3 linked regions of the Arabidopsis thaliana genome follow. The protein of the gene in region 1 interacts with the protein of each later gene in a pairwise test. Each region holds a gene or a part of one and is shown in the gene's direction. Other genes may lie near its edges.

Evidence for each region.
Region 2: the proteins of PYL13 (region 1) and HAI1 interact in a two-hybrid assay, tested with the Arabidopsis thaliana proteins (one study listed by BioGRID).
Region 3: the proteins of PYL13 (region 1) and HAI3 interact in binary tests that used the Arabidopsis thaliana proteins (3 or more experiments, as listed by UniProt).

The regions. Positions count from the first base shown.
Region 1 is NC_003075.7:10,251,651-10,255,778, forward strand, and holds PYL13 (PYR1-like 13), read left to right. Parts: upstream 1-2,708; coding exon 2,709-3,203; downstream 3,204-4,128.
Region 2 is NC_003076.8:23,893,415-23,899,838, reverse strand, and holds HAI1 (PP2C protein (Clade A protein phosphatases type 2C)), read left to right. Parts: upstream 1-2,899; 5' UTR 2,900-3,341; coding exon 3,342-3,818; intron 3,819-3,901; coding exon 3,902-4,204; intron 4,205-4,573; coding exon 4,574-4,679; coding exon of another isoform or gene 4,680-4,702; exon of another isoform or gene 4,703-4,811; coding exon 4,812-5,167; 3' UTR 5,168-5,435; downstream 5,436-6,424. Other genes in the region: AT5G59210 (myosin heavy chain-like protein), read left to right, coding at 6,220-6,255, 6,353-6,424. UniProt on the Arabidopsis thaliana protein: Acts as a negative regulator of abscisic acid (ABA) signaling for stomatal closure in leaves, and controls water loss during leaf senescence. Activated by the NAC029/NAP transcription factor during ABA signaling in senescing leaves.
Region 3 is NC_003071.7:12,606,160-12,611,339, forward strand, and holds HAI3 (highly ABA-induced PP2C protein 3), read left to right. Parts: upstream 1-2,515; 5' UTR 2,516-2,695; coding exon 2,696-3,064; intron 3,065-3,152; coding exon 3,153-3,470; intron 3,471-3,563; coding exon 3,564-3,965; 3' UTR 3,966-4,191; downstream 4,192-5,180. Other genes in the region: AT2G29370 (NAD(P)-binding Rossmann-fold superfamily protein), read left to right, coding at 216-423, 530-746, 825-931, 1,022-1,204; SMO2-2 (sterol 4-alpha-methyl-oxidase 2-2), read right to left, coding at 4,599-4,653, 4,738-4,854, 4,914-5,126.

The DNA.
Region 1 (4,128 bases):
TATCTTTCAAATGTAGCTTTTTTTGTTATTAATTAGCTATAATAATTAGAGTGTGTCCCAACTGTGAATGTATTTAAATGACAACATTTCTGTACGTTGCATGCATCATGATGTATAAACATACACTGGAATACATGTTGAAATGCACAAGTAAGTAAATAATATTTCTTACACTAAATGTATATACAATTAAGCATTACTTTTATGTATATATAGTTATATATATGCACACCTATACAAATATGTACATGTATATATGTATTTTATTATATAATTATTTTCTATTGGAAGCATGATAATATGGGGAACTAGATTACAAGGTCTAGCGAGTGTAGCCCAATAATGTAAATAAACAGCTCATGAGTTTAAAATAAGTACTCAAGCAATTAGGAAAAAAAACGAACATTTTGAATAAGCGCTAGCATTACCAAATTAGGATTTATATAAAACGAACTTAGGATTCGAACCGGCAATTGATTAAGTTAAAACGATCGAGTCGGTAGAAAGAGTTTTCCGAAACCCTAGAATCCGGAGAGAGGCTATATATAGTGATGTACATATATGTCAATTAATATATGTTTGTAGCTTTTGTAGCTAGCTATATATTAGCCATAGACCATAGTATTTAATAATGATGGCTTGGAGCCATGAGTTTTAGCATAAGCTTGTTTTAATATGATTCCATGTTGCCCTGTTTCTTTATATACTAGTATACTATATGTTATTCATGAGTTTGGAAGTATCGGTTTGTTACAAATCGGAAGTTTTGATCTATCATATCTACTGTAGTTGCTAATTAACTCGGCTTACTTGCGCCCGTCTCATTTTCTTTGAGTGTAAAAATTTGTTGATCATCAATAAATAATTTTACTGATAGAGATAAAAAAAAATAAAAAATTTGACGTATTCTTTTCTGTTAGACCGGATAAATAGACATTCAATCAAAGGTTTTTTTTTTATTAACCTACAAGGTAGTGAACTCCATTTGTTAGAACAACTTCCATTACCTTCGAACTTTTTTTATTCTTAATAACACAGAAAGTTGTGATACGGTTGCAAAACAATTTATCAATGGTGCCGATAAGATTGTTCAGAGGGTGGCAATGGGCATTGGTTTCACTTGCTTACCATAAAGAAAGCAAGTTTGAGAAATACCAAAATTGCGATTCTGTTTTTGATTGTGACTTGTGAGCCCCAACAATATATGTATATATTTCAGCTTGAGCTCAATTCCCATATATGCTACAACTCTAAGACGCAATTTATGAAAATTTGGATTTTAAATAGTCATCATGTCCATGTTTCTCGAGATGGATATCTAAGAGAAGAATAATTTGAATTTTATAAGTTTATTAAGTCATATTTTTAATACTTAAATCCAAATATAATTTGTTCCATGTATTTTATTTTTATTCTTATAATACACTTATGGAAATCTATTCTATTTTACTTCATATCTTTACCCATTTTTAATTTGCAATTTACCTTTATAATCCACTTATAAATATATATAAAAAAATCTATTACATTTTATCTCATGTCTTTACAGATTACACATTGGAATTGAGTTTTTTTTTTCATCTAAAACTTTTGTTATTTATATAACCATGGAGGTGACACAATGCCGGCCGTTAAACATGATCTTAGTCTAGGAAGGCTAAACATAAAACCAAAGCCAAGAAAAGGACTAACAAACGGACTGGATAGTTTGAAACCCAAAACCAAAACAGAATGGATTTTGTGCTGTGTGGGGTGAAGCATAAATGTATAAATGGAAAATATCATCATTAAAGTTTGGGCTTATACGGGCCTTATTTCTAATAGGCAATAGACTGATGGAACATTGAATATGCCTACCCTGGATATGTAGAACTTGCATGGCTCTCGGATTGGATACGTAGAACATTACACTTATGAAGGAAAAAAGATTGGATTCTTTTTTTTTCTGGTCGGCAACCAATTAAGAGAAACACTGTTATGTTTGTAAACAAGTGTGTGTTTCGCTAAATTCCATTGTGTGCTTTTCCGGTTTAAATGACATCTGTATTTACCTCGTGGGCAATGACACATCTATCTATATTTAGCTCCAAAACATTGCTGCAGCAAATTTCCAAAATAGACCGACTAGATTTTAATATAATATTGGTAATTTTTATCAGTTGGTAAGATATTTAATTCTTCGTGAAAAGATACTCGTATATCTCTCTTTCTGTTTAAATGGTTGATATAGTCAAAAGAAAAACCTTCAAAGAGGGTTTGTTAAAACCATATTCCCTATCACTCTTGTCAGAATACCCTTCACAGATGGTTTTGTTAATCTTTTTGATAAAACCAAGTTCCAGAATATGCAAGCCTTTTATCAAAAAGCAAAAGAAAGTTTCTAAATATGCCAACAAGATTGTGTAATTTTTCACTATACAAGGCAGTCAATACTTGTGTACAAGTTTATATTGTAAAATGTTTTTTGGTTAGTATATAGTAAGAAGAATTCGAATCGAACTCTAAAGTTTAATATTACATGAAGAATTCGTAAATAAATTAAACAATATAAAACACTATAAAAATATTTTAGTCGGTGGCTTGCCTTCATTTATATGTACGTAGATTCGTTCGATATGCTTTAAAACAAGTGAATACGAAAATTCTAAAGTAAGACACGAAAATACACGTCGATAAAAGACAAACCCATTAGAAAAACAAAACAGAAAATGGAAAGTTCTAAGCAAAAACGATGTCGCTCTAGCGTAGTCGAGACCATTGAAGCACCATTACCACTAGTGTGGTCCATCCTACGTAGTTTCGACAAACCACAAGCTTATCAACGTTTCGTCAAAAGTTGCACCATGCGCTCTGGCGGCGGCGGCGGCAAAGGAGGAGAAGGAAAAGGCTCCGTCCGGGACGTGACGTTAGTCTCCGGCTTCCCGGCGGATTTCAGCACGGAGAGGCTCGAAGAGCTAGATGATGAGTCTCACGTGATGGTGGTAAGTATTATTGGCGGTAACCATAGGCTTGTTAATTACAAATCGAAAACGAAGGTGGTCGCGTCGCCGGAGGATATGGCAAAGAAGACGGTGGTGGTGGAGAGTTACGTGGTGGATGTGCCGGAAGGAACTAGCGAGGAAGATACAATATTTTTTGTTGATAACATTATTCGGTATAACCTTACTTCACTTGCTAAGCTCACAAAGAAAATGATGAAGTAAGCTCTATATGTTTAAGCTAATCAATAAACTAATCGTAGTTATAGTTATGAATCATTGGATTAAGAAAAAAATGGATCGTTATGGATTAGTTTTTAATCTTTAAGGCTTTTAGCATTGCAATAATAATAATAAAAATATAAAGAATCGGAATAATATGCTCGTGTGGTTTCTTTCTTCCGTGATTGTAATTGTCTCTTTTCTCCTACTCTTTTATGAAGAGAAATAAAATGAAGGTTATTTCTACATTTTTACAATTAGGAATCTTTGAAATAATGGTTTTAAATTGTTGACTCAGTTGGTTTAGTTACTAAATATACTGATTTGTATTGCTGACAACAAAAGTTAGACTAAATACATGTTTGAAAATTTTCTTGATAATTCTTTGTCCATTTTGCATAATGCATAGTAAAAGGGCATCATGTAAGATTCTTAATTTGAAGTTCTAAACTAATTAATATCAATACTTTAGTATAATATTATTAGGTTGGAAGGTATTTTACACTCAGAACAGAAAGTATGATGACCTAAACTGTAGATCTCGTGAATTTCATGGCCGTTTGACTCAAATCTGTTCGGAGGTTATGAATTTATGATGTCCGTTGAATCATTGAGCTGTTGAACTAATGGAGTGGTTTACTCTATAATACTTTGGTGTGTTTTTATCAAAAACCGACCGAATCAACAGATATAATTTATTTTGAACAAGTTGGTGAAAGACAAAATAGAGGTTCTATTGATCTAAATATAACGGTGAAGATTGGAAATTTTCATGTTTTTTCGGGAATTGGGCCTTTATGAATGGACTATTGGGCCTTGCTATTTCAAAGCTTGGGTGTTGGTGGGGCTTGCTATTTCAAAGCTTGGGTGTTGGTGGGGGAGTGTGAGTGGTTGCCACGTGAAGGATACTTATTCCCTTGTCCTTTTC
Region 2 (6,424 bases), on another chromosome or scaffold:
CAATTTGATCATATAGTATCATTTTAAATCATAGGTTACGAGTGTCGAAATTCTTGTTTTAAAAAACAAAAAAAGGTTGGTACCAAATTGACAAATGTCGACTACGTAACATAGTAAAAGTTCAAAGACTACGCAATCTGCCGGCCATGCAGGCTCGAGGAAAAATCTGCCCCGGGAGAACACGTGTCGGAATCAAATTTGCCACGTAATTATTGAAACTTCTCCTTTGGTAACTGCGACCTCAACGACCATTAACCGCAACGTGGGGCTTGTGTCCGACACGCGTCTCCTTAGGCCTCAAAACTAGACTTTAGAGTTAAACCTTATTTATGTCTTGTGGACAATGGTGACACCTCATTGGTTCCTCGTAATTGCCGAACTTTCTTTCAAACAACTTACGTTTAGATTGGAACATTAAGCTTTTACAGACTAGTGGTTAGGAATAGGAAAAATATTTGTGTTTTGAGTTTAAAGTTTGTGTTTTTCAAACTAGATGTTGAGTTTGGCGCATGGTTTTGAAATAAATTTAAACAGGAGAATCCATTAAACACATAACTCAACATCGAGTTTGAAAAATGTATGAGATCGGGCATTGTTCATTATCAAGAAAAGCATTTTGTATTAATGTATATAACTAATCATGTGTGATGTGGAAATTCCAACGACAAATTGGTAAGATTTCAATTCAAAGTTACAAAACAAAGACGAGATAATTAATCAAACTAGCTAGGACAATATATTGTCTCCTTACCGAAAGCTCTCCAACCACCTACTAAAGTAACTAACCATGTTTCAGTTATAATTTTATTTTTTCGTATTCCTATCAAGTATCAAATGATATAGTTAACCAACATTTATATATATATATTGAAATCACTAAACAAACAACAAAAGTAACATAGATTTTAATGGAACTAATTTTCACCTTATATTTTTACATAAGATTTGAAAGTGATGGTTAGTGACTTGTTGGTCGATGACGAATTTGTTTTCAGGTTAAATTTTAATAATAATAATATTTGAAAGAAAGATGAAGCTTTCACGTGGCACAATGTATTTGCCTACTGTCAACTTCAAAAACCTGGCAACTGCTATGCAGCTTCAGAGGACACGTGTCATGTGTTACACACGCGCTTCGTTTTTTTTCAACCTTTTGATTTTGTTTTGTTCTGTGATGTGGGACTCACATAATTCAAATCATCATCCTATTGCTTGCCGCCACGTCCCAGAGAATTTTCCGCGAAAAGCTGAGCTTCTCTCTTTCTTTCCTTAATTTTAGTTAGGTTATGAATTATTTTTGTATTAATACTAACTAACTAAAATATCATCATCACATTACATAAACATAAGATTCATCGGCGTAACGTAAGTAACAGTTAAAGCCCAAATTACAACTCTCGATCCTACTTAATGCATAGTAAACGAATGTTGACACAGAAAAAATCTTGGTCAAGACATAAAAGTAGAGAATGTAAACACGTGTCGAACATCGAGGAAGAAAACAGGTCAGAGAGGGGTCAACGTTGTTAAATGTTAGTAATAGAGAAGTGGTCCCCAGTTTCCACCAAAACCCATCTACGTACTTGTATCTCATTGGATGTCATTCCTGATTGATTTAGAATTGAAAACGTTATATTTTGTTTATTTCTAATTGTTGATTGAATATCTTATAATTTTTGCCCACAAAAGAAAATTATAAGTGTATAATATATAGTTCACTCGAATTTAACATGTCCATTGTCCAATGTAGAACGTATGATCATTTCTGTTTTTCAGTTGCTTTTATTTTAAATTCCCAAAAACCCAATATTGTGTCAAACATTGGAGAATGATGTTCACTTTTATTGTATTCACAAAATGCTACTTATCAACTAAGAAAATTGTAATGTCAAACATAAGATGGTGATATTTTAAAAATAGATGTAAAATTAGTTTAGAACTGTCTGATAAGTCATAAGATTGCACGATTATAAATCATTGAATATTCCGGACACTTGTCAAGATTAAAACCATGAATAAGTTTTCAAATTCATTTTCATCATCTCAATTGTAAAACTAGGTAAGATATCCTTTAAAATCTTTGAATATTAGTTCCCCGGCCCATATAAAATCTCTTAAATATATTTATTTGAAAACTCTGACTGTTTGCACTTGCAGCATAAAAAAAGGGATGAAACAAATGGAACAAATGCAGAACAAAACTAATAGACCAGACAAGTAAAACAAACGAAACAAAACAAGTGTTGAAATGATAACTCACAAATTTGAACTTACTTTTCTAGCAAATAAGAAATTGTTCTAATTAAAAAAAAAAGCATATGCAGTCTCAAATTGTTTCTAAGAAGTATTCACGCACCAAGGTTATATTTGTAGTGACATATTCTACAATTATCACATTTTTCTCTTATGTTTCGTAGTCGCAGATGGTCAATTTTTTCTATAATAATTTGTCCTTGAACACACCAAACTTTAGAAACGATGATATATACCGTATTGTCACGCTCACAATGAAACAAACGCGATGAATCGTCATCACCAGCTAAAAGCCTAAAACACCATCTTAGTTTTCACTCAGATAAAAAGATTATTTGTTTCCAACCTTTCTATTGAATTGATTAGCAGTGATGACGTAATTAGTGATAGTTTATAGTAAAACAAATGGAAGTGGTAATAAATTTACACAACAAAATATGGTAAGAATCTATAAAATAAGAGGTTAAGAGATCTCATGTTATATTAAATGATTGAAAGAAAAACAAACTATTGGTTGATTTCCATATGTAATAGTAAGTTGTGATGAAAGTGATGACGTAATTAGTTGTATTTATAGTAAAACAAATTAAAATGGTAAGGTAAATTTCCACAACAAAACTTGGTAAAAATCTTAAAAAAAAAAAAAGAGGTTTAGAGATCGCATGCGTGTCATCAAAGGTTCTTTTTCACTTTAGGTCTGAGTAGTGTTAGACTTTGATTGGTGCACGTAAGTGTTTCGTATCGCGATTTAGGAGAAGTACGTTTTACACGTGGACACAATCAACGGTCAAGATTTCGTCGTCCAGATAGAGGAGCGATACGTCACGCCATTCAACAATCTCCTCTTCTTCATTCCTTCATTTTGATTTTGAGTTTTGATCTGCCCGTTCAAAAGTCTCGGTCATCTGCCCGTAAATATAAAGATGATTATATTTATTTATATCTTCTGGTGAAAGAAGCTAATATAAAGCTTCCATGGCTAATCTTGTTTAAGCTTCTCTTCTTCTTCTCTCTCCTGTGTCTCGTTCACTAGTTTTTTTTCGGGGGAGAGTGATGGAGTGTGTTTGTTGAATAGTTTTGACGATCACATGGCTGAGATTTGTTACGAGAACGAGACTATGATGATTGAAACGACGGCGACGGTGGTGAAGAAGGCAACGACGACAACGAGGAGACGAGAACGGAGCTCGTCTCAAGCAGCGAGAAGAAGGAGAATGGAGATCCGGAGGTTTAAGTTTGTTTCCGGCGAACAAGAACCTGTCTTCGTCGACGGTGACTTACAGAGGCGGAGGAGAAGAGAATCCACCGTCGCAGCCTCCACCTCCACCGTGTTTTACGAAACGGCGAAGGAAGTTGTCGTCCTATGCGAGTCTCTTAGTTCAACGGTTGTGGCATTGCCTGATCCTGAAGCTTATCCTAAATACGGCGTCGCTTCAGTCTGTGGAAGAAGACGTGAAATGGAAGACGCCGTCGCTGTGCATCCGTTTTTTTCCCGTCATCAGACGGAATATTCATCCACCGGATTTCACTATTGCGGCGTTTACGATGGCCATGGCTGTTCCCATGTACGACGTCGTTTTATTATAAAAATTATCCTTTAATTGACCGTTACGACGTCGGTTTTTAATTTTAATAATATGATGTTTAGGTAGCGATGAAATGTAGAGAAAGACTACACGAGCTAGTCCGTGAAGAGTTTGAAGCTGATGCTGACTGGGAAAAGTCAATGGCGCGTAGCTTCACGCGCATGGACATGGAGGTTGTTGCGTTGAACGCCGATGGTGCGGCAAAATGCCGGTGCGAGCTTCAGAGGCCGGACTGCGACGCGGTGGGATCCACTGCGGTTGTGTCTGTCCTTACGCCGGAGAAAATCATCGTGGCGAATTGCGGTGACTCACGTGCCGTTCTCTGTCGTAACGGCAAAGCCATTGCTTTATCCTCCGATCATAAGGTTTTGTTCGTTTTTTGATAATCTCTCTTGTTTCGTTTATCCATCGTTAAATGTTTATCCGTTAGATCTACGGTTATGGTTTACTCACTGTAATGAAACGAGAATTTCGTTACGTGTTGCGTTCGAAACTTACCTATTAATATTGTTTAATGCATTTTTTATTTATTATTTCATTTATTGGAAATTAGAATCTTCTTTAATGTGCATGCAACACCTGGACGACGATTAAGAATGTTTAATGACTTTTTACTTTTTAGATAGAGGATCTGATAAAGTTTATGAGTTTTAAGATTCTTTAATCCTTCGTGTCACTGTTATCAATGACTATATCATTCTCTCTCTCTCTCTTGTTTAAATTTGTTGTAACAGCCAGACCGTCCGGACGAGCTAGACCGGATTCAAGCAGCGGGTGGTCGTGTTATCTACTGGGATGGCCCACGTGTCCTTGGAGTACTTGCAATGTCACGAGCCATTGGTCAGTTAATTGATTACACTTGACGAAAACACTCTTGTCCCTATCCTAATGTTTGTACAAAGTTTTTCCGTACTTTCAATAATGATGATTATTAACTCTCGTTTCGCCGCGGATTTTTTTTTTTTTTTTCAGGAGATAATTACTTGAAGCCGTATGTAATCAGCAGACCGGAGGTAACCGTGACGGACCGGGCCAACGGAGACGATTTTCTTATTCTCGCAAGTGACGGTCTTTGGGACGTTGTTTCAAACGAAACTGCATGTAGCGTCGTTCGAATGTGTTTGAGAGGAAAAGTCAATGGTCAAGTATCATCATCACCGGAAAGGGAAATGACAGGTGTCGGCGCCGGGAATGTGGTGGTTGGAGGAGGAGATTTGCCAGATAAAGCGTGTGAGGAGGCGTCGCTGTTGCTGACGAGGCTTGCGTTGGCTAGACAAAGTTCGGACAACGTAAGTGTTGTGGTGGTTGATCTACGACGAGACACGTAGTTGTATTTGTCTCTCTCGTAATGTTTGTTGTTTTTTGTCCTGAGTCATCGACTTTTGGGCTTTTTCTTTTAACCTTTTTTGCTCTTCGGTGTAAGACAACGAAGGGTTTTTAATTTAGCTTGACTATGGGTTATGTCAGTCACTGTGTTGAATCGCGGTTTAGATCTACAAAGATTTTCACCAGTAGTGAAAATGGTAAAAAGCCGTGAAATGTGAAAGACTTGAGTTCAATTTAATTTTAAATTTAATAGAATCAGTTGATCATAACAAAATCTTACCTTTTTAAATTTATTTTTTGTTATATATAGGACGATGTTTATAGGAATATTAGAAATGTTAGACTGATATCTTTAAGAATAGGAAAAGAACCAAATATTTACTAAGGAATTTGTTTTCAAGTGTATTTTGTAACTAAACAAGGCAAACAATCGGTATAGAATACTTCAAAGGTTAATTGGGAGGATTCAATATTATAACATTTTTTTCTTATTATGTAAAACGTTTTTTTTTTTTTTTTGCCAACATAATCTATAAAACATGTTTATATAACTCTTCATCAAACGGGTATGGTTCACACTTTATCATGTGACATATTAGAAGATGTCGATCATTAAGACTGAACATTGTTTAAAGTACTTAGAAATCAAAATGATGATTCAAGCTTTGATAACTTCCAACCGTTTCCAACCGCCAAACTTTGGTAACTTTTTTAGAATCGAACTCCTAGCTATCGCCTAACGATTTTTTTGAACATTCTCGTTTTTTTTTCTTTTAAATGTCTTTGCAATTGCATAAACTGGTTTTTTTTTTTTTTTTTTTTTTTTGTCGGAAACTGGTTTTCTTTTATCATCCTGTTTTCAACTTTTATTCAATTTTTTTTTTCTTTTTGAAATTGAAAAACTGGGCTCGCTTTCAAGGTCAGAGAGTTATATATGTCCATGGGCCTATTTAACACTCCTATAAGCCCAAATATAGATATATTCCATTTTTGTCGCCGGCGATTTCCTCACCGTTAAATCGACGTTCGAAATTCCGAGGAGAGGAATCATACCATGGAATCGCACCACGCGTCTCTAGGTCGCCGTACTGTAAGGATATTTCCGATATGGCCGTCTTTATCTTCATCTGAAGACAGTTTCTTACATCGGTGCTTTTTTGTTGTTATTAATTTCTGTGATCTTGTAGTTGGAAGAGATTCGTCAAAAGAGAGCAGCTCAAAGGCTAAGCAAAGCTTCTTCAGGTCCAGATCTTAGTGAA
Region 3 (5,180 bases), on another chromosome or scaffold:
AATTTTTCTACCTTAATTACTTACTTCCCTATAATTTCAGTACCGAAACTGAGCTCTGATTTCAATCATGTATAGACTTTCGTTTTATTTGTTAATACGGCTCAATCATAGACTTATGTGGATCTTTTGATAGTATTTCTATGTTTAATCAAATCAACCCCTGAAAAGATCAAAGGCTTAATGATATGTATAAATTCATATTGATGTATAAATAGAAAAGCTGTGGTGGAGGAACTAGCCATGTTGGGAGCAAGAGTTCACACATGTGCCAGAGACGAAACTCAGCTTCAAGAAAGCTTACGTGAATGGCAAGCAAAAGGGTTACAAGTCACCACTTCTGTTTGCGATGTTTCTTCTCGTGACCAGCGAGAGAAACTCATGGAAACTGTTTCCTCTCTCTTCCAAGGAAAACTCAGCATCCTCGTAAGTGTGTGTGTGTATATATATAAGCTTCTCCTCCTCCTCGTCTATGAGCTTGGATCGACAATGACCAAAATCATGTTGAATTTTGTTTGCTTCGTTTGTATAGGTACCCAATGTGGGAATAGGTGTACTAAAGCCGACGACTGAGTGTACAGCAGAAGAGTTCTCATTTATAATAGCTACAAATCTGGAGTCAACTTTCCATTTCTCGCAACTCGCGCATCCTTTATTGAAAGCCTCTGGTTCAGGGAACATTGTGCTCATGTCTTCCGTGGCTGGAGTTGTAAATTTGGGTAATACATCAATCTATGGAGCAACCAAAGGTATAATTATACGCATACTCGAACAATTTATGATTCTTTGCTTCTATCGCGACTTAAATAAATGTATACGCATTCTAGGAGCCATGAATCAGCTGGCGAGAAATTTAGCATGCGAGTGGGCGAGTGATAATATAAGGGCTAATTCTGTTTGTCCATGGTTCATTACAACTCCGTCAACTAAAGATGTAAGACAATGAATAAGAAAATACATTTCATTTATAGTATGAAAAAATGGTTTAACTATTTCTTACGAAGTTTATGTGAAAATGTTTCAGTTCCTCGGTGATAAAGATGTAAAAGAAAAGGTGGAGAGTGTGACACCATTGAGACGTGTTGGAGAGGCAAATGAAGTATCATCGCTTGTTGCATTTCTATGTCTTCCCGCAGCTTCTTATATAACAGGTCAAACCATTTGCGTTGATGGAGGTTTCACTATTAACGGCTTCTCTTTGCCTTAAACACGTATATATGCATATATTCATGCTTAAATTTATGTGATTAATTAGTGGTTTCACTGCATATTAATTCATACAAGTTTTATATGTAACTTATGTTGAGGGAGCTCACTCCGTTCATGCCTTCTAATGTTTGGACGAAGAACTCAATCTTTTATCTTATCGGATAAGAAGTTACTTGTGTTCACATTTGATGTTTGTTCGTTTCCAATCGTATTGTGACTTTTGATATATAAAATAATTATTGTATATATTCTACTTATGATATATGATTATATAGTCATGTAATGATGACCGTACGATTTTCAACTCTAGTATCCCTATCTTTAGGGGGTTATGGCTAAAAGCCTAAAAAGATTACTTTTGCTAAAGGAGTAAAGATTATGTTCATAATTTTTTTTAATTTATATAAATTTATTATTATTATTCTCACGCATAACACAAAACAAAGAAAGAATTATCTTCATAATTATATATATATATATATATATATTTGATATAAATTTATTATTATTATTATTCTCACGCATAGCACAAAACAAGTTTCTTCTATATATCAACTAAACTAAAAGACATGTCGTTGGAAACATACTCATATATCATATTCAAGGACTCATAATAATAGACATGTAAACAAAATATTCCTTAAATTTTCTAAATTCAAAAACAAACTATATATGTAACTTGTTATTTAATCTTCTTGGGTATATAAAACTTTATCGCATTTCTTGGATATTTGGACGATGAGAATTCAAATTGCTTTGTCGATGATAAATTTGTTTAATAATTGTTCAGACTGCCATCACAACATAGCTGATTACTGTCATATAAGTCATACATATTATATTTCCGATGATTCTCTGGACTCTCAAGACAATAATAATAAAAATTCAGATATAAGTTTATTAAGGTTTTCTTTGTTAACGTGTTTACTGTCTAGGGACAAACATAAATTATTAGCACTAAACTTGTTAGGTTTTGAAAGTAAACACTGATTTATACCTAAACTTAGGTTATTCATGTAATCAAATGTGAAAACTAACGTAATGAAATTCCTCTAGTTATTTAAATACAGAAAACAAAACCTACCTTGCGGGGAAAAGCATCGTGGCGCGAAAGGAAACTTCCTATGATCCGTCATCCGTGCCGTCTCAATTTGATTGGACCACGAATCTCGCACTCGATACTGACGCCTTACGTGGATTACTTTTTTTATAGAAAGAATTTAAAATTGTTTCTGAAGAGGCAGGTTTTGTGTATAAAATAGAGAATGCAAGTAACGTGTAATGACATTATTTCTCAAATTGAATGGTTTTCGAGCATTTTTATTAACCAGTGAAGCAACCAAAACAGGAATCACCAGTTCTTGAAAGAGTTCATCAAAAAAGAAAACATTTCTTGAAACATCTAAGAAAGAGTTTTGTTCTTCTTGATCAGAAATACAGAGCAAAATCCATTTGAAGACATCAAAGTTTAAGGTTTTTTTCCCCGGATATGGCCGAGATATGTTACGAAGTAGTGACCGACGCATGTCCGTCGTCGGTTTATGAATCAACGCCGGCACATTCACGGCGGAGGCCGAGATTCCAAACGGTGATGCATGAAGATTGGGAGAAGAATTGTAAGCGTAGTAAACAGGAGGCTTTAGCTACGAGATACTCTTCAATTCCTCGAAGCTCTCGGGAGGATTTCTCTGACCAAAATGTCGACGTATCCAGTCCAAGATACGGTGTTTCTTCGGTGTGCGGTAGAAGAAGAGAGATGGAAGATGCGGTGGCAATTCATCCTTCATTTTCTTCTCCGAAGAATTCGGAATTTCCTCAACACTACTTTGGTGTGTATGACGGCCATGGTTGTTCCCACGTACGACTCCGTTACCATGCATTCTTACGTTTTCCGAAATTCTATGTTTTCAGTTTTAGCTGATACGAAATCTTTTTTTTTTCCTTAGGTTGCAGCAAGGTGTAGAGAGAGGCTTCACAAGCTGGTGCAAGAAGAACTAAGTTCAGATATGGAAGATGAAGAAGAATGGAAAACGACGATGGAGCGTAGCTTCACACGCATGGATAAGGAAGTTGTATCGTGGGGTGATTCCGTCGTGACTGCAAATTGCAAGTGTGATCTACAAACACCGGCTTGTGATTCCGTCGGATCAACCGCTGTTGTCTCAGTCATTACGCCAGATAAGATCGTTGTCGCCAATTGTGGCGATTCCAGAGCAGTTCTCTGCCGCAATGGGAAACCAGTCCCTTTATCAACCGATCACAAGGTCAGTTCCGTTCAAAACATGTTCAGTTTCATTTAAGCAATGATTGGATTTGTGGATTAACTTGGAGATTGTGTTCTTTGTAATGAAACACAGCCTGATCGGCCAGACGAATTGGATCGAATCGAAGGAGCTGGTGGACGAGTCATATATTGGGACTGTCCAAGAGTTCTCGGAGTCTTAGCAATGTCACGAGCAATAGGAGACAACTATTTGAAACCTTACGTGAGTTGCGAGCCGGAGGTAACCATAACGGACAGGAGAGACGATGACTGCCTCATACTAGCTAGTGATGGTTTATGGGATGTTGTGTCAAACGAGACCGCCTGCTCTGTAGCGCGTATGTGTCTCCGTGGTGGTGGGAGAAGACAAGATAATGAGGATCCGGCGATTTCGGACAAGGCTTGTACGGAAGCGTCAGTATTGCTAACAAAGCTGGCGTTGGCAAGGAACAGTAGTGACAACGTCAGTGTCGTTGTGATTGATCTCAGAAGATAAGGACACGTAAGTGGACACTAGTCGAAGAGGAAGACAATTTTGCTTTAACTTTCTATATCAGTTTTGCTTTTTGGTTATTCTTGGAATACGTTGGTTGTATACAAAATTAACCCGATTTTATGGAAACCCCGAAAAAGGGTTAATTAATAGAAATGATAAGAATTATTCTTGTCAACCCTAATCCTGTTTCGTGTATGCTTATAATCTTAAATCAAATCAAATTAAGAAGGTCGACATGTAAAAGCATTTTGCTTTAAAAAAGATTGTCAGACTATACTATACCTTTTACTTTTAGGCATTAAGATACTTTAAGAGGTACTTAGTCTCTGCCGCTAGGCAAAGACATGAGAGTAGATCATAGGTTCTAAATGCAATTATGAGTATTAGCAGTATCTAAAGAATAAGAAAAACAGTAAGCAGTAGTAACAACAAGTCCAATAGAAACGAGGTCACGTATAAATTTCAACATCGAATCGACTTCAGACTAGCAGCTTTGATTGTACAACCCAAATTGTAGCAAATAATGATGTTCTTATGACTAAAGTTGAGGAAATGGTAGAGACAAAACAAAAGAAAGAAGGTTTTTTGAGAACAAGACCTCTCTCGGGAATCGAATTTCACGTTTGTTTGTTGTCAGGTTTCTTTTAGGGCCTTAAGTTTTCTGTAACCTTTATCGGTGCCAAAGATCCTGAAGTAACATAGATAAACATATTTACATGTTTATTATAGTTATGACTTCTGTTAAAGTAAGAAACAGAGTTCAATAATTTACCAGTCCATGTAAACAAACGTTGATGAGTAGTTGCCAGACTTTGTGTAGAGTAATCGATGATGGTAGTCATGGAAGTCAGCACTGTAAGCAAATGATTCCCACATTAATATTAAAGATCTGTTAGGTTTAAGGTGTTGCTCTTTCAAGGCAATCACAGGTTAGAAGTCTTATCTTACCCGCCGTATAGAGGAAGAAAATTCGAGGGGCTCCATGGGAAATGATAACCACAATGTGCCTCAACTGTCTCAATAACTCTGAGCATCATCCATAACCAAAGGGTGATCAGGTGAGGCCCGGTGAGAGCCGGACCAACAATGGTAGCAAAACCAAGGAACAGAATTTCAGCGGGATGAGCATATTCTGATGTCAAACCAAACGGTGTCGCGTACCTGTATATAAGTAATACCATAAGATTGTTTATTGAGGACCATGAGTGAACTAAC